3 linked regions of the Struthio camelus genome follow. The protein of the gene in region 2 purifies or fractionates together with the protein of the main gene of each other region. This does not show direct contact. Links are inferred from orthologs where the notes say so. Each region holds a gene or a part of one and is shown on either strand. Other genes may lie near its edges.

Region 1 (7,484 bases), on a different chromosome or scaffold from region 2:
GAGTTTTAATTAATACAGATACGTGCAATCATAAATAACGCTCTTAAAATTAAATGGAATTTTAAGGCTACATTGGCATATTCCTCTTGATGCCATTGCCCCTCTAGAGAGGTAATACCATGAATTTCCAGCTGAAGGGAGTTGATGAAATCTATTGACTTTTCCATCGCTGCTGAGAGTCCATATATTGTAAGAATAAAATATGAATAAAAACATTGAAGTGCTTGATGTTCTGCAGAGAAAAGTGCACTGTTAAACAAATACAGACTTATTTTTAAGCAAGTCGGCTAGTGAAAAGTTTTCTGTGCGCAAGCATACAGATGTCCATGCCAGAGATGTGTTTCTGGCACTTCACTTTGCGTTATCTGCTACCTCAGCTGGCACAGACATGAGGCAGGGAGGGGTTGTGATATTTTTTCCCTTTATATTTTGCAGCTCAGGCCAACCCGGGGTTTAATCTCTCTCAGTTTGGGCTTTGAAAACCCATTTCCCGGAGATGCTGTGGTTAAAAACACACACAGGACAAAGCTCACAACCGCACGGCTGTTCAGTCGTTCTGCTGCCGCTCGTGATGCGCGGCCCTGCGTAGAGCAACCTGAACCAGCCCTACTTCTCTGTCCTAAAAACCCCCACCAAAAACGCACTCTGAGAAAAATTCCAGCAGGATTAGCAGGGTTTATATGCAATTCCCCCCCCCCCCCCCAAAAAAAAAAAAAAACCCACCCATTCTGGCCAGGTCTAAGCTGAAAATAGGAGCTTTGCTTTGGCACTTCAGCTGCAGTCAAAAAAGACAGAGACTAAGTAACCAAATCAGGTTGCCCTTAGAAACGCGTTTGTACTGGGCAAAATAATTGATTGGATTTTTGTCGCATTTGCACTGATCGAGTATGTTGGCTGACAGCTCCCCTGATAACTCACTCCTGACGGCTCACGGGCTGAAGGAAATGCGTCGGGGTGAGGCGAGGTCTGCGGATGATTTACGTGCTAGTGAGCTGTCTCCATTTCTTTTTAATTTAGAGATGCAAAACTGAGCCTGAAAGTAATGAGCTCCAGATAATTAGGTGCTTGTCTGCAGGTGTAGCTATTGCAGCTGCCTACAGCTGGTGCTCTTAATATTGCTGATTTTTATTTTAAAATATTACGGAATGAATGGGAGGCTGGAGATGCAGATAATTTGCTGCAAAGAGTTGGGTTGTTCTGTCCCTCACCTCCCCAGTTTTACTTTAGCGGTCCTGGCTGGCTTGCCTGCGAGGTGTATCGCACATGGGCTGAAGACTGCAAGGAACGGATGATGATAAGTAGCGGAGTATTGTGTTATACGGGGGTGGCGGCGGGAATGCCTCGAAGACTGATGAAAGTCTGATCTCGTTTATCATCATTAATGATTAGCCAGATGGGAAGCGGTATCTCTTGCCTTAGTATTAAAGGGGTTGCGAAAGCCTTGCTAATACAAAAATGCAGTGCAGTATGTTACCCGCAAACGTTAGGAAGGTGAGTGCAGAGCAAAAGGTGGTGCAAAATGGATGCATGCCAGAAGAAAAAAATCAATAGTAGGTATTTCATGAGGTGGGTAGTTTAAACAAGTGCTTTAGGTGGGGGATTTGGAGATGGGTTTGGGCATAAATAGTATATGCGTTTTTAACGGTATGGTGGCTTGCTGCTACAGTGCAGCTTTAGCACGTTTAGTCAGGAAGAAGCGTTGTGTCGTGTGTCAGGCGGTGTGTGCCGTCCTTAAGCGCACGAGTACAATCATACGCGTAAACGTGAATGCGTGCAACTGCGGACGGAGGGGAACGTTCTTCAGGAGGCATCAAAAACCCGTCAGGATTAACTCGTGATGGAAAAGGCGAAGACATCCGAATAGCTTGAGGAGCAGTGGCAGGGCTGGGAGAAGGAAAGGGAAACGGTGCTTTTCGGTAAGCGTTTGAAGGGCGCGTTTTGCTTTCAAGCTGTAGTTTTCAGAGGAGCCTTGGAAAGGCCGGCTTCCGCCTGAGGTGCGCTGGGATGTGTATGCCCCTTTTCTTTTGAAAACTCTTTAACTGGGGCTTTGTTCCCATTCAGTTCAGCGTAAGCATAGATGGGTGACCTGATGTGGCAGGCGGGAGGCAAAGGAAGCGTTTGGGAATCATATAAAAGCTAGTTCCAAGATTAATGATACGTTATTGGGTAAAAAGCTGAATTTCAAAGATGAATCTCAAGAAAAGTTTTAGGATGGGGAGCTTCATTTAAAGTGGGGATAAGTAATGAAATTGCTTGCCGTTGGGAGACGATGCTTTAAGGAAGAGTACCTCAAAGGTAGAGGGATGGACAAGCCTTGTTTCCGGTGAGCGTCAGCTAGTGCAAACGGGGAGCAAGGAAAGGGAGTCCGGCAGCCGGTAACGTCAAACGAGGCAACTGCGGTGTCTAATGGAGCCAGTGAGCTCGTGTGAAACGCGAGCGGTATTTATGTAAGTACGTGTCTGTTACAAAAACAAAAGGTGCACTTTTAAAAAGTATTTCTTGCCAGTATAAAATAATGAACAATTTGGAGCATTCTGTATTACCGTTTAATGCGCAGAGTAAGACTAGGGATTAAAAAAGTGGCTCGCACAACACTTTGTTGATCCGCTTCATGTTCTTACCTTTGGCAAATGGCAACTCGGTCGCGAACGGTGACTCCACGTGTTGCGGTGAGAATCTTTCTGTTAGGCCAGAAAATGTTGAAACGAGCTTAATAATGGCGTTTGCCTGAAGCTCAGTTTGTGTATAAGTAATTCTAGGAGCCAGTGACTCCTGAGGTGTGGTTTGCATCTATCCACAAGAATAGGGGTAAAACGATGTACTCGTCTGTTACGTAGCTTGGTGATTTCAGGCAGTATCCCCACGATACATCCCGTGGGTGCCACTTGAAAAACATTTGTTACTGTGTGTTTACGTTTTTTGAAAGCATTTGACTAACTAGAAATAGGTTCTTGATGTCAGAGTTAAGTATTAGCATACAGATGACGTGGTTTTCTAAGGAATTCACCACCTATGGCTCCTGCTAACTTTGGCAGTGTTTCTTCTGGGTGTTCATTCAAGGAAAAGCTGCCTTCATTTTTATTTCTTTTTTCCCCCTCTGATAAATAAATAAATAAACGAACAAATGCAAACCACTGAAACAACAGCCCTCCGTTACATGCTGACCTATGATACGGCCAGCGCTCTGAATCGTAGTTTATTTTGACATCCGGTCGCTGCGGAAGAGTTAAGTTGCAGCCGTCGAAGAAAACTAAAATAAAACTACCGTTTTACTGCAGAAGGCCGACTCGTTCTTTTGAGGTTCGACTGACGTGCCGTACAGACGGTAAGCGCCTAGTTAATCCTCACGAGGATGAGCAGAGCCCCACCGATGTATTTCACCTCTCCAGAGCATGGTCGCTTGAATTTGTCTCCATCCTTACGTGTTATTTGGCCGACGCTGGGAGCGTGTGGCAGGGTTTGGCACGGCCTGAAGCAACGCTCTGGCTTCGTTCTGCTTCGGTGGTCGAGCCGTGTGGCTCCAAAATGTTTTAAATGAGAGTGGCTCCTGAAAAGAGTGAGACTGTGTTGTTGATTTTTTTTTTTTTTGGCTTAAATTTTGTTGTAAAAGGTGTTACGTGGCCGGGCAGAGTGCATCGGTGGCCCGTGTTGGGACTGGGATGTGCCGTTGGAGCAGGCAGTGGAAAGGCTCGAAGGAGGCTTGAGCAGCAGCCTTGGCTGTTGGTTCCTCCCGACCCTTTAGACGTTGCCCAAAGTAGCTGAATCACGGTCGGGTTTGATTTCCCTGAGTTAATGGTCTCGCGTCTCTCTTAGTAAGAACTGCTTAGCTCTGTAAGTCTGTGCGGTGCTGGATTTCTGTAAGAGCTGGTAGAAGAAGCGAGGGAGGCAGGGGTCCCAGGGGAAAGACAGCGTGCCCTTGCGAAACTAAGGGCTCGGTCCTGCACATACACACGAGGCAACTGAGTTAAGGTTGCATGAGCCGCTTTAATCCTGGCGTTTCCTAAGTCTGGGGCTGTTTGCTTTGTGACTCGAATTGTCCTCGGATGAAGCTTGCGGGCTCGTAGTGACTATTTCGTCACGGGGAGAGCCGATGGTGCTGTTTTGATCTGGTCGTTTCCCAATGCCCAGCATGTGACATGTCACTTGGTAGGTTGGTTGGTTGGTTGGTTGGTTTGTTTTCAAGGCGGCAGTTTGTCTTACCCGGTTTCCTTGCCTCGGATCCTGAGAAGCAGCCCGTCAGGCGGGGAATTTATTCCGCGGGGAGAATTGATTCGTGAAGCACTCGCTAAAGAAATGGGCTTGCGGCGGCGGCGCCTGGTAGCGCGTTGGGGGACAGCGAGCCGTCCCTCTGGACCGGGAGGCCGCCAGAAGCAAACGGCAGAGTGCGTTGCTTGAGGGAGTTTGTGCCGTGATTTAATTCCCCTCCCGACAGGCAGCGCTGAAGTTTTCCATGCCCTTCCTGTAATGCGGCGTGCTCGCCAAGCGCAATGTGCTCTAGGTGAGTTTGTTTTATTCTTTGTTTCTTAAGGCCGCGGCTTGGTTTGATTTTACCCCAAGTAAGGCTAGCTCCCTCTCGGCGCCGCTAAAGCGAGGCAGCGAACGCAGGAAAGCGGAGCGGTCGCCGTTCTGCCCCGCGATACGAGTGACGTGCAAAGGCTTTCTCCGAAAACTTGCCTCTGCCTTTCTCTCCCCTGCCACCCGGCTGCGCCCGCCAGTCTTAGCTTAACGGCGCTGCCTCCTTTGCGACCGCTGTCGGAGAGCGCGTCCCCTGCGACCGAAGCGGGGCGGGAGCGCTGAGCGCGGCCAGCCGAGCGCGGGGGCTGCAGGTAGCGCCCGGGCCGCCCGTGCGCTACCGCTTTAAGACCGCCGGCGCGAGAGCTCGGCTCCGCCGGCGAGATTCAGGCGCTCAGAAGGAGCAGCTGCATGGCACGACCGCGGCCGTAGGCTCCGCTTTCCGGGGGGAGAAATCCCTCATTCGGGACGCCGTTTGCGGAGGCTGGAGCTTGCTGCCAGGTAGGATCGAGCTGCAAAGGACGGGCTGAGGCCGAGGAAGTTTCTGCGAGCCGCCGCGTACGGCGCAGCCTTCCTTGTAACCCTTTAAGTTAGCCGTGCAGTCTCCAAACCTGCTTCAAGGCGCTTCTGCTGTTAGCATCGCCATCTCCTGTGTTGCAGCTGAATTTAAGACGGAGAGGAGGCTGCAGGAGAGATGCACGCTCTTTTAACTGCTCTGGCTGCTGCCCAAATGCCTCCCTGCGTAGAGGGGTTTGCACGGTTCCTTGCACCAGAAAGCTGGCGGGAGCGATGAGCGTTGCAATTTGCAGGTTCCTGCCCCTCTGTAATCTTGCATGATGGTTTTATCTTGCATTTTTCAGACATTTAATACATAATTTCTGTACAAGCGGGAACATGCACAGGGATTATATAACCCTAGGGAGAGCTGGTGAAAGACTTGCTACGTTTCCGGGCAAGGATAAAAATCGTTAGTTGTGGAATGCTTTTGTATACAGGTTTGCATATGTGCCCTTTGGTCCTCACGGGTATTTTTATTCGCATGGAAAGATGCTTGCTTGTTACAGTAAGCTGCAAGTGAAGAAAGGGGCCATCAATGCATGCGAAGGATAAAATGGTTGCTGCTGAGCTTAGGTGAGAAGCACCGTTCTGGGGAAAATGAATCCATTTTGGACGAAAATACAACAGCGTTGTTTCTGCTTGGTCTTGGAAACAGTAGCACAACAGGGAAACCTGTACAAATTCTTGCCGTGAGAGCCTGTTTTAGATCTTGGTACGTGCTTTTCGGTTCTCCGTGGCCTAAATCTAAAAGTGCACAAAATCTTGCAGTGTTTCAGTTCTGTAGCATTGTTAGAGCAAAAAGACAGGCGTTGCACAAGAGGGAAATTCCTGCAAGAAATTCCTCCTGACTTTTATTTAAGTCCTCTGTATTTCTCAGTGCCTCTGAATACTCCAGCTGCCAGGCAGTTCTGGTTTGGATTTTTTTTTTGATTGCCTTAAAGAGAAGTCTCATCTTCTCACAGTCCTCAGAGTGTGGTTATGACTGTCTAATTAAAATATAGCATCCTTCTTTCATGGCAGCTTTTGGGTTTTAGAAAAATTTGATTTTGCTTGCAAATGTTACTCTCTCTGCCTTCCTTCTCCCGCTGGGTCTTTAATAGTTCCCCACATTCCCCAGCTTGCAGTCACTGTTGCAGCCAGATGGGGACTAGGTGGAACTCCCCTTGCATCTGAGCTTGCTTTTATTAATCTGCCAGCAGTATCTGAGTTGTGTGGGTTTTTTATATATCTGTTTCATGAGTTAATGAGCCCTAAGCAGCAACGAACAGAATCCAGAGTTAGTATTAACTGCTGGCTGTCGTCCTTCTGACTCTGCTTCTGAGTTTTGGCTGGACACTGATGGAGGATGGAAAGCTGTAGAGAGTCATTAAGCCTAAGAAGCAGAGACTGTAGTTTCCACTTTACTAACCCGTCAGCTGCAGAGCTGATTGAAGAGGCTCCCTTTCGCATCCACTTGTTCCTGCTCTTCTGCTTCATTGCCCACCCCATCTTTTCTCCCTGCATTGCTGGAAGGAGCTGGGAAAATGGCTTGAGGTTTGGGTTTAGTTTTGTTTTTCAACCCCCCTCTCCCAGGTTTTTGCGTTGTTTGTTTTTTTTTTTTTTTTTGGCATGGATCATTTCCGAGATCTGCACAAGTGCAGCTGAAGAGGATGGCAGTGGATGAGAAGGTTTTTGGGAGGAGGAGAAGGTGGGAAAGTACAGGATCCTCCTGAATTGGATCTAGCCGTACTGGAACAGCGATGTGAAAGAGGTGCCTGAATTATTCAGCATATCCCTGTTTCCTTTGCACTGTAGCTAAACTCTGCCATGGAGCCAGCCTGGTTTTACGTTTTAACTCTTAAACTTCCCTGTGTCTGATGCGGGGAAGCAGGGGGGCAGCGTTTGCACAGTTTGCCTCATGTGTCGGGTTGTGGACCTCTTCATCGCCCCTTTCATGAGAGCAGTGCCTCCAGAAGATGATCTGCTCTGAGGGGGCACTGTCTTCTAGATGTGGCTGAGTGACCTCAAAACGGATGTCCTTGTCAAACGTAAGGGGGAGTGAGGGTGGTCACTCCTACCCACGGGGAAGGGCCAAGCTGCCGGAGGCAGTAATCTTGTCCACTGGCCCAGCTCTTTGCAGAGCGCGTGTTTGTAGACACCAGAAGTTAGAAGTTGGAGATCACCTCTTTCTCCAGCCATCCTATCTCATTAAGAGTTACTGGAATTTAAAGCATTTTTGTCCCTGTCGGTGTCACGTCCAGGTCAAGTCTTCTAGCAAAAAGGACTTGCAGGGTTTCTTTCTAATCTGATGAGAGTTATCGCTTTCCAGAAGCGATCTTAAACGGCAACCCCAAACTCTGAAAATTCATCTAAACTGCTCGTTCCTCGAGGCAGCCCTCTTCCTGGGTGGAAAAAGAGGGGTTGCTCTGCTCAAG
Region 2 (6,852 bases):
TGCAGGGCAGGAGGGCGCTGCCGGGGGGCCGGGGGGCGGTTTTGGGGCAGTTTGGGGGTGTTTGGGGGGCGCGTACCCTTGATGCAGGGCAGGAGGGTGCTGCCGGGGGGCGGTTTTGGGGCAGTTTGGGGGTGTTTGGGGTGCGGGTACCCTTGATGCAGGGCAGGAGGGCGCTGCCGGGGGGCCGGGGGGCGGTTTTGGGGCAGTTTGGGGGGGTTTGGGGGGCGGGTACCCTTGATGCAGGGCAGGAGGGCGCTGCCGGGGGGCGGTTTTGGGGCAGTTTGGGGGTGTTTGGGGTGCGCGTACCCTTGATGCAGGGCAGGAGGGCGCTGCCGGAGGGCCCAGGGGCGGTTTTGGGGCAGTTTGGGGGGGTTTGGGGTGCGGGTACCCTTGATGCAGGGCAGGATGGCGCTGCCGGGGGGCCGGGGGGCGGTTTTGGGGCAGTTTGGGGGGGTTTGGGGTGCGCGTACCCTTGATGCAGGGCAGGATGGCGCTGCCGGAGGGCCCAGGGGCGGTTTTGGGGCAGTTTGGGCGTGTTTGGGGTGCACGTACCCTTCATGCAGGGCAGGAGGGCGCTGCCGGGGGGCCGGGGGGCAGTTTTGGGGCAGTTTGGGGGTGTTTGGGGGGCGCGTACCCTTGATGCAGGGCAGGAGGGCGCTGCCGGGGGGCGGTTTTGGGGCAGTTTGGGGGTGTTTGGGGGGCGGGTACCCTTGATGCAGGGCAGGAGGGCGCTGCCGGGGGGCCGGGGGGCGGTTTTGGGGCAGTTTGGGGGGGTTTGGGGGGCGGGTACCCTTGATGCAGGGCAGGAGGGTGCTGCCGGGGGGCGGTTTTGGGGCAGTTTGGGGGGGTTTGGGGTGCGGGTACCCTTGATGCAGGGCAGGAGGGCGCTGCCGGGGGGCCGGGGGGCGGTTTTGGGGCAGTTTGGGGGGGTTTGGGGGGCGGGTACCCTTGATGCAGGGCAGGAGGGCGCTGCCGGGGGGCGGTTTTGGGGCAGTTTGGGGGTGTTTGGGGTGCGGGTACCCTTGATGCAGGGCAGGAGGGCGCTGCCGGGGGGCCCAGGGGCGGTTTTGGGGCAGTTTGGGGGGGTTTGGGGTGCGGGTACCCTTGATGCAGGGCAGGAGGGCGCTGCCGGGGGGCCGGGGGGCGGTTTTGGGGCAGTTTGGGGGGGTTTGGGGGGCGGGTACCCTTGATGCAGGGCAGGATGGCGCGCTGCTGGATGGCCGAGGGCTTCTCGAAGCCGTAGGCGTAGATGCCGCGCAGCAGCGACTCCGAGAGGTTCATGTCGTCGAAGCTGTCCACGATCTCGTTCCAGTTGCTCTGCGGCGGCGGCGGGGGGGGGTCAGGGGGAGGCCTCGGCGGCCGGATCCCCCCCCCCGACCCCCAAAACGGCCCCCGCCGCCCCCCCCCGCTCACCTCGATGACGCCATCGGGGTCCATCCCCTCGGGGCCATTGTCTCGGGGTCTGCCGGGAGGAAGCGGGGGTCACGGCCGTTCCCCCCCGACCCCCCCCGCTCCGCTTCCGCTTGCCCTCTGACCCGGAAGCCGATCCCCGCCGCCTCCCGCCGCTTCCGCCCCGCGCAGGCTCCTCCACGTGGTCGCGGCCTAACTCCCGCCGGAAGTCCCACCCCCTTTTCCCTCCCCTCCATCCCGCGCAGCCCCGCAGCCAATCGGCGGGCCGCGCCGCGGGTGACGTCAGCGCCGCGTGCCCGGCCGGCAGGACAATGGGCGCGAGAGCGCGCGCGGGCGGGGTGGGCTCGCCCGCGGCGGGGAGGGCGGGGGGAGCCGCGGGAGGAACCACGCGCGGAGCGCTGGAGGGAGGGGGGGAACCCCGGCCGCCTTTCTCCCCCCCCCCCCGCGCCCCGATGGGCTCGCCCGGCGCCACCATCGCGGGCGCGCCGCGGGTTGGTGGGGGGGGGGGGTGGGAAGCGGCTCCCACCCCCCTCCCCACTCCGCCCGCGTGGGTGGCCGCCATGGGCGCGCCCACCCGCTCCCCCCTCCCCTCCGCCGCGATGGGCTCGCCCAGGCGCCGCGGCGGGCGCGACCATCGCGGGGGGAGGAGGAGGAGGGCGCCCCCCGCCATGCGGCAAGGGGCGGCTCAGCCGCTGGCGCCGACGGAGACAGAGGAAACCCCCCCCCCTCCTCCTCCTTCCCGGGCCTGGTGGTTCCGCCCAGAGCCCTCAGCCCCTCGCAATCGTGAGGGACCCCCCCCCCCCCGCCGCCCGGTGGTTCCGCCGGGACGGGACCGGCCGGAACCGTGAGGGAATCGCCCCCCCTCAAACCCCCTAGTGGTTCCGCCCGGACGGGACCGGCGGGAACCATGAGGGAATCGCCCCCCCTCAAACCCCCCTAGTGGTTCCGCCCGGACGGGACCGGCGGGAACCGTGAGGGAATCGCCCCCCCCCCCCCGGTGGTTCCGCCCGAACGGGACCGGCGGGAACCGTGAGGGAATCACCCCCCCCCGGTGGTTCCGCCCGAACGGGACCGGCGGGAACCATGAGGGAATCGCGCCTCTCCCCCCCCCCACCCGGTGGTTCCGCCCGAACGGGACTGGCGGGAACCGTGAGGGAATCGCCCCCCCCCGGTGGTTCCGCCCGGACCGGAGGGAATCGCCCCCCCCTCAACCCCCCCTAGTGGTTGCGCCCGGACGGGACCGGCGGGAACCGTGAGGGAATCGCCCCCCCCCCCGGTGGTTCCGCCCGGACCGGAGGGAATCGCCCCCCCTCAACCCCCCCTAGTGGTTGCGCCCGGACGGGACCGGCGGGAACCGTGAGGGAATCGCCCCCCTCCCCCGGTGGTTCCGCCCGGACCGGAGGGAATCGCCCCCCCTCAACCCCCCCTAGTGGTTGCGCCCGGACGGGACCGGCGGGAACCGTGAGGGAATCGCCCCCCCCCCCGCGCCCCTCACCGGCTCTCCTGACTCGCAGACATCCTGGGCAGCGTCGGCGCCCCGCCCGCCCGCGCCCGCCTTATAGCCGCCGCCGCGCCCCGCCCCCGCCGCGCGCCCATTGGCCCGCCGCCGCCGCGCCCGCCCACCGGCTCGGCCCTCATTGGCCCGCCGCTGCCGCCCGCTTGGCCCCGCCTCCTCCCTTCCCCTCCCGCTTCCCCCCTGGGGAGAGGGGGCGCCCCCAGCGCGCATGCGCGCGCGCCCCCCTCCCACTCCCGCCCTCACGGGGCGCCAACGCGCCGCCGGCCGGGGGAGGGGCCACGGGGAGGAAGGGGCGGGGCTAAAGGCGGAAGGGCGGGGCCTCTCCTCCTCCAGCCCCCCCCCACGTGGGCGGCCATGCCGGAGCGCTGGGAGGGGGAGGAGCTTTGTGTGAGCGCCCCTCCCCCACGCCGGGACACCGGGGTCCCTTGGTGGGGGGGGAGGGGTCCCGGACACCTGGGTCCCTTGGGGGGGGGGGACCCGGACACCTGGGTCCCTCTGGGGGGGGGGAGTCGCAGACACCTGGGCCCCTTGGAGGGGGAGGGGTCCTGGACACCTGGGTCCCTTCAAGGGAGAAGGGGTCCCGGACGCCTGGGCCCCTTTTGGGGGGTCCCTGGACACCTGGGTCCCTTGGGGGGGGTCCCGGACACCTGGGCCCTTTGGGGGGGGGCAGAAGTCCCAGACACCTGGGTGCCTTTGGGGGGAGAAGGATCCCGGACGCCTGGGCCCCTTTTGGGGGGTCCCAGACACCTGGGTGCCTTTGGGGGGGGGGGACTAGATGCCTGGGCCCCTTTTGGGGGGTCCCAGACACCTGGGTGCCTTTGGGGGGAGAAGGATCCCGGACGCCTGGGCCCCTTTTGGGGGGTCCCAGACACCTGGGTCCCTTGGGGGGGGGGGGCGGACACCTGAGCCCTTTGGGGGGGGGGCAGAGGTCCCAGACACCTGGGTCCCTTGGGGGGGGGCCGGACGCCTGGGCCCTTTAGAGGGGGGGCAGAGGTCCCAGACACCTGGGTGCCTTTGGGGGAGAAGGATCCCGGACGCCTGGGCCCCTTTTGGGGGGTCCCAGACACCTGGGTGCCTTTGGGGGGAGAAGGATCCCGGACGCCTGGGCCCCTTTTGGGGGGTCCCAGACACCTGGGTGCCTTTGGGGGGAGAAGGATCCCGGACGCCTGGGCCCCTTTTGGGGGGTCCCAGACACCTGGGTCCCTTTGGGGGGGGGGACCGGACACCTGGGCCCCTTTTGGGGGGTCCCAGACACCTGGGTCCCTTTGGGGGGGGGGGACCGGAAGCCTGGGCCCCTTTTGGGGGGTGCTGGACACCTGGGTCCCTTGGAGCGGGGGGGAGGTCCCAGACACCTGGGTGCCCTTGGGGGGGGGGACCAGACACCTGGGCCCCTTTTGGGGGGTCCTGGACACCTGGGGCCTTTGGGGGGGGGGGGGAGGTCCCAGACACCTGGGTCCCTTGGGGGGGGGGGGCGGACGCCTGGGCCCTTTAGGGGGGCAGAGGTCCCAGACACCTGGGTGCCTTTGGGCGGGGGGGGAAGAGACCGGACGCCTGGGCCCCTTTGAGAAGGCGAGGGGCAGACGGGGGAGCGAGGAGGGGGAGCGGAGGCGCTCGGACGCCTGGGTCCCCCGGTGGCGTTGGTGGGGGGGGGGGGGGGGAGTCCCAGGACGCCTGGGCCCCATGTGCCCCCCCCCCCCCGGCGGGGTCGCGGTCCCGGCCCAGGCGGCTCCAAACCGGTTCTTTATTGCCCGACAAGAGTCGCGGCCCCGGCGGCTGTACAAAACCCGCCCCCCCCCCCCCAGAACAGCCCCCCATCCCCGCGGCGGCCTGGCACAGGCGGCGGGCCGGCACAGGCGGCGGGGCGGCACAGGCGGCGGCGTCACACGGCCAGCTTGCAGTGGCAGAGCTCCTTGTACATCTGGCGCCGCAGCTTGGGCATGTCCTGCTGCGTGAAGCTGAACGGCAGCCCCAGCGCCAGGAACTTGCAGTACTGGGGGGGGGAGAGGGGCGTCGGGGGGGGGTCCTCGGGGGGGGACCCCAGGGGGGCACAGGGGGTCCTCGGCCGTCGGGGGGAGCCCCAGCAGGGGCCCCCTGGGGGGGCTCGGGGGAGGCCCGGGGCGGGGGGTCATGGAGGGACCCGGGGGGGCTCCTAGGGGGGCTGGAGGGGGTCACAAGGGAGGCCGGGGGGTCGGGGGGGACCCCAGGTGGTTGAGGGGGTCCTCGGGGGTCAGGGGGACACCAAGGGGGTCAGGGGGAGCCCCAGCAGGGGCCCCGGGGGGCTCTTAGGGGGTTGGGGGGGTCATGGAGGGACCCAGGGGGGGTCCTAGAGGCATTTGGGGGGGTCACAAGGTACACCCGGGGGGTCACAAGGGACCCCAGGGGGTTGAGGGGGTCCTCGGGGGTCAGGGGGAGCCCCAGCAGGGGCCCTGGGGGGCTCTTAGGGGGTTCGGGGGGTCATGGAGGGAGCCGGGGGGGGGGCTCCTAGGGGGGCTGGGGGGGGTCACAAGGGAGGCCGGGGGGGTCAGGGGAGACCCCAGGGGGTTGAGGGGGTCCTCGGGGGTCAGGGGGACACCAAGGGGGTCAGGGGGGGGCCCCAGCAGGGGCTCTGGGGGGTTCTTAGGGGGTTCGGGGGGTCATGGAGGGACCCGGGGGGGGGTCCTAGAGGCATTGGGGGGGGTCACAAGGGAGGTCGGGGGGGGTCGGGGGGGACCCCAGGGGGTTGAGGGGGTCCTCGGGGGTCAGGGGGACACCAAGGGGGTCGGGGGGAGCCCCAGCAGGGGCCCTGGGGGGCTCTTAGGGGGTTGGGGGGGTCATGGAGGGACCCGGGGGGGGCTCCTAGGGGGTGGGGGGGGTCACAAGGGAGGCCAAGGGGGGTCAGGGGGAGGTGAGGGGGGCCCGCGGGGGGGTCCGTGGGGGCCCTGGGGGGGTCATGGGAGGTGAGGGGGCCCGCGGGGGGGTCGGGGGGGCCCTGGGGGGGTCATGGGAGGTGAGGGGGCCCGCGGGGGGGTCGGGGGGGCCCTGGGGGGGTCATGGGAGGTGAGGGGGGCCCCAGGGGGGTCCGGGGGGGCCCTGGGGGATCATGGGAGGTGAGGGGGCCCGCGGGGGGGTCCGGGGGGGCCCTGGGGGATCATGGGAGGTGAGGGGGCCCGTGGGGGGGTCCGGGGGGGGGCACCGGCGCCCCCCAGCCCCTACCTGCAGCACGAAGGCGCCGCAGTCGCTGTCGTTGTTCTGGCGGGCGACGTTCTGGGGGGGGGGGAGAGAAGCAGCCCGTGAAGGGGGGGGGAGAGGGGGCCCAGGCGTGCGGGCGGCCCCGGCGGGGGCCCAGGCGTCCCCTCCGTCCCCCCCCCCCCCGACGGCGCTCACCATCTTGAAGGCGCCCCGCCAGCCCTCGCGGAAGTCCGGCCGCTCCTTCCGGTCGGCCTCGGCCTGCAGGTAGCGGCAGATGTGCTGCCGCGGGGGCGGGGTCAGTGCCCGGGGCAGGGGGCGGGGTCAGCCGGGGCCCCGCCCACCCGGCCCCGCCCACCCCCCCGGAGCGTTGGGAGGGAGGGAGGGAGGGGGAAGGAGAGGGGGTGGAAGCAGCTGGTGTGGCCCCGCCCCCCGCAGGAGGCCCCGCCCCCGGCGCCGAGGCCCCGCCCACCTCGGGGTGGGGGGAAAGCAGCCACTGAGAAGACACGGGGCAGGGCCTGAGCACATGGTGTGGCCCCGCCCCTCCACCGGGCCCCGCCCACCCCAGGAGGCCCCGCCCACCCCAGGAGGCCCCGCCCACCCCAGGAGGCCCCGCCCACCCCACCAGCTATTGGCAGCACGCTGGGGGCTGAAGCACATGGGGTGGCCCCGCCCTCCGGCTCCCAGGCCCTGCCCCCTGCTCCCAGGCTCCGCCCACCCCAGGCCCCGCCCACCTTGGGGCAGCGGCGGTTGAGGGTGCG
Region 3 (7,184 bases), on a different chromosome or scaffold from region 2:
TCCATACTCTCAACATTTAAAACAAGAAAGTATTAGAAGAATCATTGATTTCAGTAGTATCCCGCTTAAAGAGACATTCATAACCTTCTGCGTTGCCTAAGATACATTTGCATACTAGGGAAGCAACACCAAAAGTTACTACTTACCATTGAGGGCAAAGAGGGCTATCTCACATTTCCCTGTTCTTTCATTCCCTAGCTTATTTCTCCCTTTAAGTATGAAAACCAGTGAAGCTGGTTACTTTTCAGTTACATAAAATACTTACTGCAAAGTAAGTCTTACTGTAAGATGTTTACTAAAGTATGACACATTTCTTCAAACCTAGGTCCAGATTTTGAAGGTCAGCAATAGAAAGGCTTCCATATGTTCACGAAGTAATCAAACTCCTAACCACACATTCAACTAAACTACTCAACTCCAAATCATGCACTATTTTTGCAACAGCGGCCATCTATGATTTTAGCCACTATGCAAGCTCAAATTTAAGCTTAGAAGTGTGAGCCACCTAAGAGTAAAAGCATAAAAAGGGTATTATTTAAATACATTTGAAAATAACCAAGCATAGCTTATATTTCCTTCATGTTTGATCTATGGCAGAACTGTCAACAACAGGTCAGTTAAACTGTCTTAAGCATTGCCTTGTCTTCTACTTTTACTGGGTCAGCACAAATACGTCACTCCAGGTTAAACCTGATTTGGGAACTAATCCTACTGGAAAATGGTGTAGCAAAATAAACTGCTTATTTTTGTCTAAATTAGGCCCCAGATCTAGCCCAACATACGACCACACAAACATGCAAAAACAATGGAGAGAACAGTGTGGGGACAGGCGTATGCCAGCACTGCAGCCAAGAGAGCCACAGAAACATGCCTTTAGTATTGTTTCAATTTCTAGTGGCTATCAATATTACAAATAACTTATCACAACACCTGCCAAGCCCCATGACAGTCACAAAACACACGAGACATGAAGCTCTCTCCTTCAAAAGCATGGGCTTAGGCTTGGAAAGATCAGTTATCAGAAGTAAAAATAAGTGTTTGAGACTGTGGCTGAAGAACATGGGAAGGCTGCTGCTGGTGCTCCAGCTCGCTAACAATCGATTTTCTTCTACTTCAGAACCACTAGTCAAGGAATTCATAACTGATGACCAACGTTGGTCTTTCTTGTAAGTAAAGGTTTTTTTTTTGTTGTTCAGGAAAGAAAACTGTATGACCAGCATCCCTTAAGACTGTCTCCCTGGCAAACTAAGATGTCTGTATTTAAAAACAGCAAACTGATTCTTGTAGTTAAGTATTTCTATCTAAAGGCCTCTCCAAAGCATGCACTGGCTATTTAGGCACTGTAGGTGAGAAGCAGGAACAAGTCACCCATCCTTAAATCTCTCATTTTCTCCAAACACTAGCACAAGGTCTTCCACACTCTGTTCCCCATGATACACGAATGTGTACAATTAGATTGACAGTTACCAGACCGTGTCCAGCTCTGCTTCAATTCTTTAGGGGAAGTGCAGGTTGGGACAGTAATTATGAAACACTGTGTAGTTTTATGAACACAACTTCACACACAGAGAGGGAAGAAAATGTTTAATAATTAAACACTTTACAGAAATTAGCCTACAGAAAGTTCCAACAAAAATACGATCTTAGACCAGAAAGGTGACATCAGATGATAAAAGGGAATAGTGTTTGCATCACATCTTGAATCTGAGCAGCAACATCGCTTTTTCGGTTGCCTAAATCTAGAGCAGCATAACTACTCAGTTTGAGACACTCACCCCACCCCAGGTTAGCGACTGCGTATCGCCTAAGCACAAGGCATCTTTCACCACTAGCTTTGAAATACTACGGCAGCCTTGGAACTGAACCTTTGCTACTCCTACATGGCCGTGAGGGTGCACGCACGCATCCTGGCGAGGGACGGGCGATCGCTGAAGTGACAGGAAAAGTCCTAACTCGCCGGCTCCTTGCGGCAGAAAGCAACATGGCCACCCCCACCCCGCCACATGAGCGGAGCGCGGCCGAGGGCCGCCCGCCAGGCTCCGCGGGGGCCGTTCGCCGCCGCTGCTGCTGCCGCCGCCCGCCCGGGCTGGCTGCTCCTCCTCTCCTCACCTTCCGCCCCCCCCCTCCCCCCCGCCTCGGGAGGGCGGCAAGGTCACAGCCGGCGGGGAGCCGCGGGGCCGCCCCCGCCGCGACACAATGGGCGCCACGGCGGCAGCCAGCACCGCTACCCGCAGGCCGCGCGCCCGCCCGCCCTGCCCCCCTCACCCCCCAACCCCACCCCAACGGTCGGTTCGTTTCTTCCACGCGCCGGTGACGGCACAGACGCAACGGTGCGGGCGGCGCGCGCGCGCAGGGCCTCGGCCTATCCCTCCCTCCCTCCCTCCCTCCCCGCCGCGCAGGCCGGCGCCGCGCCTCGTCTCCCTCTCCCCCTCCCCCCCGCCCCGTCCCCGTGCGTGCGCTCCTCGCCGGCCCCATCGCCATCGCCATCGCCCCGGCGCCGCCCCCCCGCCCCCGCCCTCTCCCCCTTCCCCGCTGCCGCGCCCGCCGGGGCCGCGGGAGCCGCAGCGCGGGCAAGGGGAGGCGGAGGAAGGAGAGAGAAAGGCGGGCGGGAGAAGGGAATGAAACACTCACCGGTTCCACAGTCGCCATCTTAGATCGATCTGATCGCACCAGCGCTGCGGGGAGGGGAAGGGGCGGATTAAAAAAAAAACAGGTTCAAACCCGGTTGGCTGGCCCGCGGTCACGTGAGCCAGGCGGCCGTTTGGGACGGGGGAGGGGAGGCTCCGGCGTTCGGGCCGCCGGGAGGGCGGCGCGCGGGACGCGGCGCCTGCTGGGAGCTGTAGGCGCCGAGCGCGGAGGAGGCCGGGAGCCGCTCGCCCTCCCTCTGGCCGGCGAGCCGCAGTCACATGGGGGAGGAAGAGGCGGGCGCTGACCCCTAGCGGCCGCGCCGGGGCGCTGCGCGGGGCGCCGCCCGCGCGCACAATGCGCCGCGCGGCGCCGTCCCGTGATGCTGCGGGGCGGCGCGGGGGGCGGCCGTTGGCCGCGGCGCGCGAGCCCTGTCTGTAAAATAACGGTGGCCTCGCCCCGGCTCGGCGCCGAGCGTTTGGCAGCGGTCGGCAGGTAGCGTGGGACAGCGCTGCTCTACCGGGCCAGCTCGGCCTGCCCCTCACCCGGGCGGGGGAGGGGGGTGCTGGCAAAGGTGTCCGCATCGCAAATAAAAACTTCCACCCGCCTACAGAAATAATCTACCAGCAATGCAACATTGAATGCTTTTCCGGAATCAGAGATTAGCTGGGTTTCTGTTATTCACAACGTGTACTTCAAAGGGTTTCGGGGCAAGGTTTTTCTCCTGCAGTAACTACGGATTTTTACTGGATTTCTGAAGGGCACCTTGCAATATGTGTCTGATGGCCTGAGGATACAACATACAAATTCTCAAAAGCATTTCAAGTACATTGAAGAATGGGATGCGATTGTATTTTTCTACTTTAGATAGGCAACTAAGTAGGATCTGCAATCCAGTTACCAGTGGCATCTTCTGTACTTGCTTTGTATGGCAAAAGAGGAAGGCCACAACCCTGCAAATTTCAAGTGCACCATTAAGTTGTCTCTCATTGTGCCATAAACAATGCAATTAAATCATACCCGCAACACAGGAAAACTGTGGGCTCTTACTGTGAGGTCCAGACTGATTATTTGATTGAATTTAATCAAGAGTTCCTCAAATCCTATTTTTACAGCATCCAAAATGCAACAGTCTTCGTGTTTTGCTTCCCCAAGGTCAGTTTTTGAATCAGTTTCTACTCACTGCAATGGCATCAAATTTCTTCTCCTCAAAGGGAAACAAAAGCTAAGAAAAACTCAGTTTATTGAATATAACTGGGCCCATTCATGTTTTGCTGATAGAGTGCCTCTCATTCATAAAAGGAACAAAACGTCTGTTGTTCAAGCCAGGTGGTCACATGCTGGCCGATGTGAAAAACCAAGTCCAATTTTGACAACATCAGTCATGATTCTCAGATTGACGCAAACACGTTACTCCGATGGGCATTGCATTTTTGCAATCTCGTCTGTTCCTATTTGCTCAGAATTTTGAGTGGTGGGGTCCTGTCAGAGGAAAAAAGGACACAGCTGGAAAGGTTGTCATTTTAAAACCAAGAAGTCTTAACACCAGGCACCTTGCCTCCACTGTTTTAGCCGACTCAGTCCCATTCTACTGCCAGTTAGAATTATATTTCTGACCATAATTAGAGGAGTTGCAGCAGCTCCGTTTCCCCCACCCCTTGACCCTTGATTAAATAAATTACGAGTGCTGAGAAATTTAATCCAGCCATGGGAGAAGGAAACTAGTGCTTTGCTCTGTGGAAATAGCAGGGTGTAGGACATCAAGCACCAAATGAGACCTACCACAGATCAGATTTTTTAGTTCTGCAGGAAATCAGGAGGCTTTAAAAGATACCTAAATGGCCACAGCATTCCTATCTTACAAGACAGATCTAAAAATTAAATGGAACTATTTTAAGAAATAAGATCCCCAGATAGTACCGGTGGAGCTCATATTTTAGACTGCTATTCATGTGCCAAGGTGACACCTCATCAGATGAACAGGAGAGATACAGCAGCATGAGAGGGATGGTGATACAACTGAGCTCTACGTTTATCCCATGGGAAACGGCCGAATTCCTTTTGAGCACGGAGGCAATTTGTCCAGAGAAAGGCACTTACTTCATTCTCCTTTTGAAATGTTCCTGTCACACACAGTCTGGTGTAAGATCTGCAAGTATCCATTCCTTTTCATCTGCTAAAGAGCTAGGTAGCAGGTAGGGTGTTTTCAGGCTTTGACAGTGAGTTGCGCATTCATGCAGCATCCCCTTTCCTGGGTGACCTAGAAATGGAGGTACAACTACAGGGACAGAAGGATGGTTAAGCATGGTGGTTCACCCTAGAAATCAACCTTTTAGAGCTCTGTCCCTTGAAATCACTTTTTCCAGCCAGGATGGTATTGCTCATCTCACAACAGAAGGGAAATCAAAAATTACAGTCCTGAGAAGAAGTTAAGGGAGGAGACAGAGTGACTGAGATGCACTTTTTCGGTACTAAGGCTTAATGGAAATTTATTTACCTCCGGTATTTATGGAGGATGTTTGAAAGAGGCGAGAGAAACAGCAGTTTAGGGAAGCAATGGGTGACCGGGAAAAAAATGTACCAGACACTTTATATAGGGTTCTGTGGCTGGCGGAGTGGAAAAGCATGCATTCCTTTATCTGCTCCAAGAATATGAGTTACCCCTTGGAAATCCAACTAGACTGTATCAACCATCTCACTCTTTTCCACATGCACGTTGACTCTTCAGGGAATTTAGTAAGTTTGTAAGGCAGAATTTCCCTCTATAAAAGTCATGTTGACTCTTCCAAGTAGATCATATTTATCTAGGTGTCTACTGATTCTGTTCCCTATCATAGTTTCTACTGACCTGCAGAGGAGAGAGCAAGCTTCCTGGCCTGTCAGGCCCCCTATCTTCCATGGGACTCCTCCTAGAAGTTGATATTACATTTGGTATCCTGTAGACACCAGGTATCGGTGCAGCTTTAAAACTGTGGTTATGCACACCTGCTAGCAATTTCAGTTTCCTCCTTGAATACTGTGGGTGAATACTATCTGGTCCTCAAGATTTCTTACTGTTCATTTTATCAAGTTTCTTCCATTCTCTCTTCCAAAATCCCTTCAATTTGCAGGATATCCACTGGTGATTGCAGTTTCTTCCACAGTGAAAACTGACTCAAATGATTTATTAAACTTCTCTTCAAGGGCCTTGTGTTCTTTGAGTACTCCTGTTAATACTACGGTTATCAATTGCTCCAACAGACTTCTGGAAGGCTTCCTGTTGCTGAGAGAATCAAAGAAAAATCTATTATTAGTTTTGATTCTTTTTTGGGGGGACAATCTTATTGTTTTCTTATATTCAATCTGCAGGGATTTATGTTTCTACTTTGTTTCATTTGAATATTACTTCACCCTTCTCGGGCCCTCCTTAATAATCCAAGTGTGTGTATAGACCTTATGTTTCTAATAGGTGTATCTTAAAATAGCTTCCATGCTGCCTGTAAGGATTTAATTATTTAGCTGCACCTTTTTGTCCCTTTTTAACAAACTGCCTTATTTTTATACAGTTCCACTCTTTGAGTCAAAATTTGGTGAATTTTTTGGCTGTTGGTGATCCTGTAATGCATCAAAGTATGTTATGGTCATTGCTCAGAGACTGGCTCTCCAAATATATGAGTTTTTAAACCAGATCCCAACTACTACTCAGGATGAAGTCAAAGGCTGTCTTCTCATGGACTTTCTAACTAGTTGTTCCATGAAAGAGGCACTATTTATGTCTAAAAGGCCAGTCTCTGTGATACATCTAGATGTAACACTTGTACAGGCTACATACAAGCAATGAAGACTACTGTTACTTTTGTATTTCCCGCCCTTGCTGACCTCCTTGATCTTCCTTAGAATTTCACTATCAGTAAAGTAGACCAAATATTGGGTTGGTTCGTTAATTATGGAACAGGTCAGTACTTATTCACTATACTCCTCTATAATCTCCCTGTTTAGGCCTGTCATGTTAACCTATGCAGATATTATTTGACTTCTAGTAATAAGTTGGTTAATTGGACTTGATTTGATTTACAGAGCGGCTTTTCCAAACACAAACTGTTTTTTACGGGAAGGTGGACTTCCTGTTACTCTGAAATCCAGACAACAGAGACAAAAATGCATGAAACAATAAATCCCATAGGGGCAGTGATCTTGTGAGACTGATACTGGAAGAATGCTGGTACATGAATAAAGCTGCTTTCCACTACATTTGTTTGTAGATCACTGAATGGCCACTGGTTATAACCAAAATGTATTGGAACAGCAAATTTTCTGCAGTATTTTTTTTGTGCTATGGAATTCATTTTAGTGTTAGAATTTGGTATTTATTTAATAAAGGGAGAGCGTTCAATGAAGTAATGTTTTATCAGCCACCCTACCTGTTTAAAGAAAAACACAACAAAAATATATTCAAGGTCCTCAACTTTTATACTACTGTTTCAAAGAAATAAATACTGAAAACAATTTCACAATAAAAGAACTGGGACACATTTTCCCAGTGATACCACAGAAATTAAGTATTTGTTCCTTCCCTTCTC

What was found.
Region 1: the proteins of EIF4A1 (region 2) and EIF4G3 purify together in Homo sapiens (co-immunoprecipitation; 6 studies listed by BioGRID and IntAct, counting the BioPlex papers as one, with this or other methods). This does not show direct contact. The link is inferred for Struthio camelus from reciprocal best matches to the Homo sapiens genes EIF4A1 and EIF4G3.
Region 3: the proteins of EIF4A1 (region 2) and EIF4E purify together in Homo sapiens (affinity purification with mass spectrometry; 8 studies listed by BioGRID and IntAct, counting the BioPlex papers as one, with this or other methods). This does not show direct contact. The link is inferred for Struthio camelus from reciprocal best matches to the Homo sapiens genes EIF4A1 and EIF4E.

Annotation. Positions count from the first base shown.
Region 1 is NC_090962.1:8,963,357-8,970,840, forward strand, and holds the start of EIF4G3 (eukaryotic translation initiation factor 4 gamma 3), read left to right. Parts: upstream 1-4,472; 5' UTR 4,473-4,487; coding exon 4,488-4,498; intron 4,499-4,811; exon of another isoform or gene 4,812-5,013; intron 5,014-5,073; exon of another isoform or gene 5,074-5,089; intron 5,090-7,484. UniProt on the Homo sapiens protein: Component of the protein complex eIF4F, which is involved in the recognition of the mRNA cap, ATP-dependent unwinding of 5'-terminal secondary structure and recruitment of mRNA to the ribosome. Functional homolog of EIF4G1.
Region 2 is NW_027182614.1:2,062-8,913, reverse strand, and holds the start of EIF4A1 (eukaryotic initiation factor 4A-I), read right to left. Parts: upstream 3,004-6,852; 5' UTR 2,929-3,003; coding exon 2,906-2,928; intron 1,463-2,905; coding exon 1,414-1,462; intron 1,318-1,413; coding exon 1,185-1,317; intron 1-1,184. Other genes in the region: SENP3 (sentrin-specific protease 3), read right to left, coding at 4,806-4,916, 6,119-6,169, 6,290-6,373. UniProt on the Homo sapiens protein: ATP-dependent RNA helicase which is a subunit of the eIF4F complex involved in cap recognition and is required for mRNA binding to ribosome.
Region 3 is NC_090945.1:28,151,194-28,158,377, reverse strand, and holds the start of EIF4E (eukaryotic translation initiation factor 4E), read right to left. Parts: upstream 3,013-7,184; 5' UTR 2,650-3,012; coding exon 2,632-2,649; intron 1-2,631. UniProt on the Homo sapiens protein: Acts in the cytoplasm to initiate and regulate protein synthesis and is required in the nucleus for export of a subset of mRNAs from the nucleus to the cytoplasm which promotes processes such as RNA capping, processing and splicing.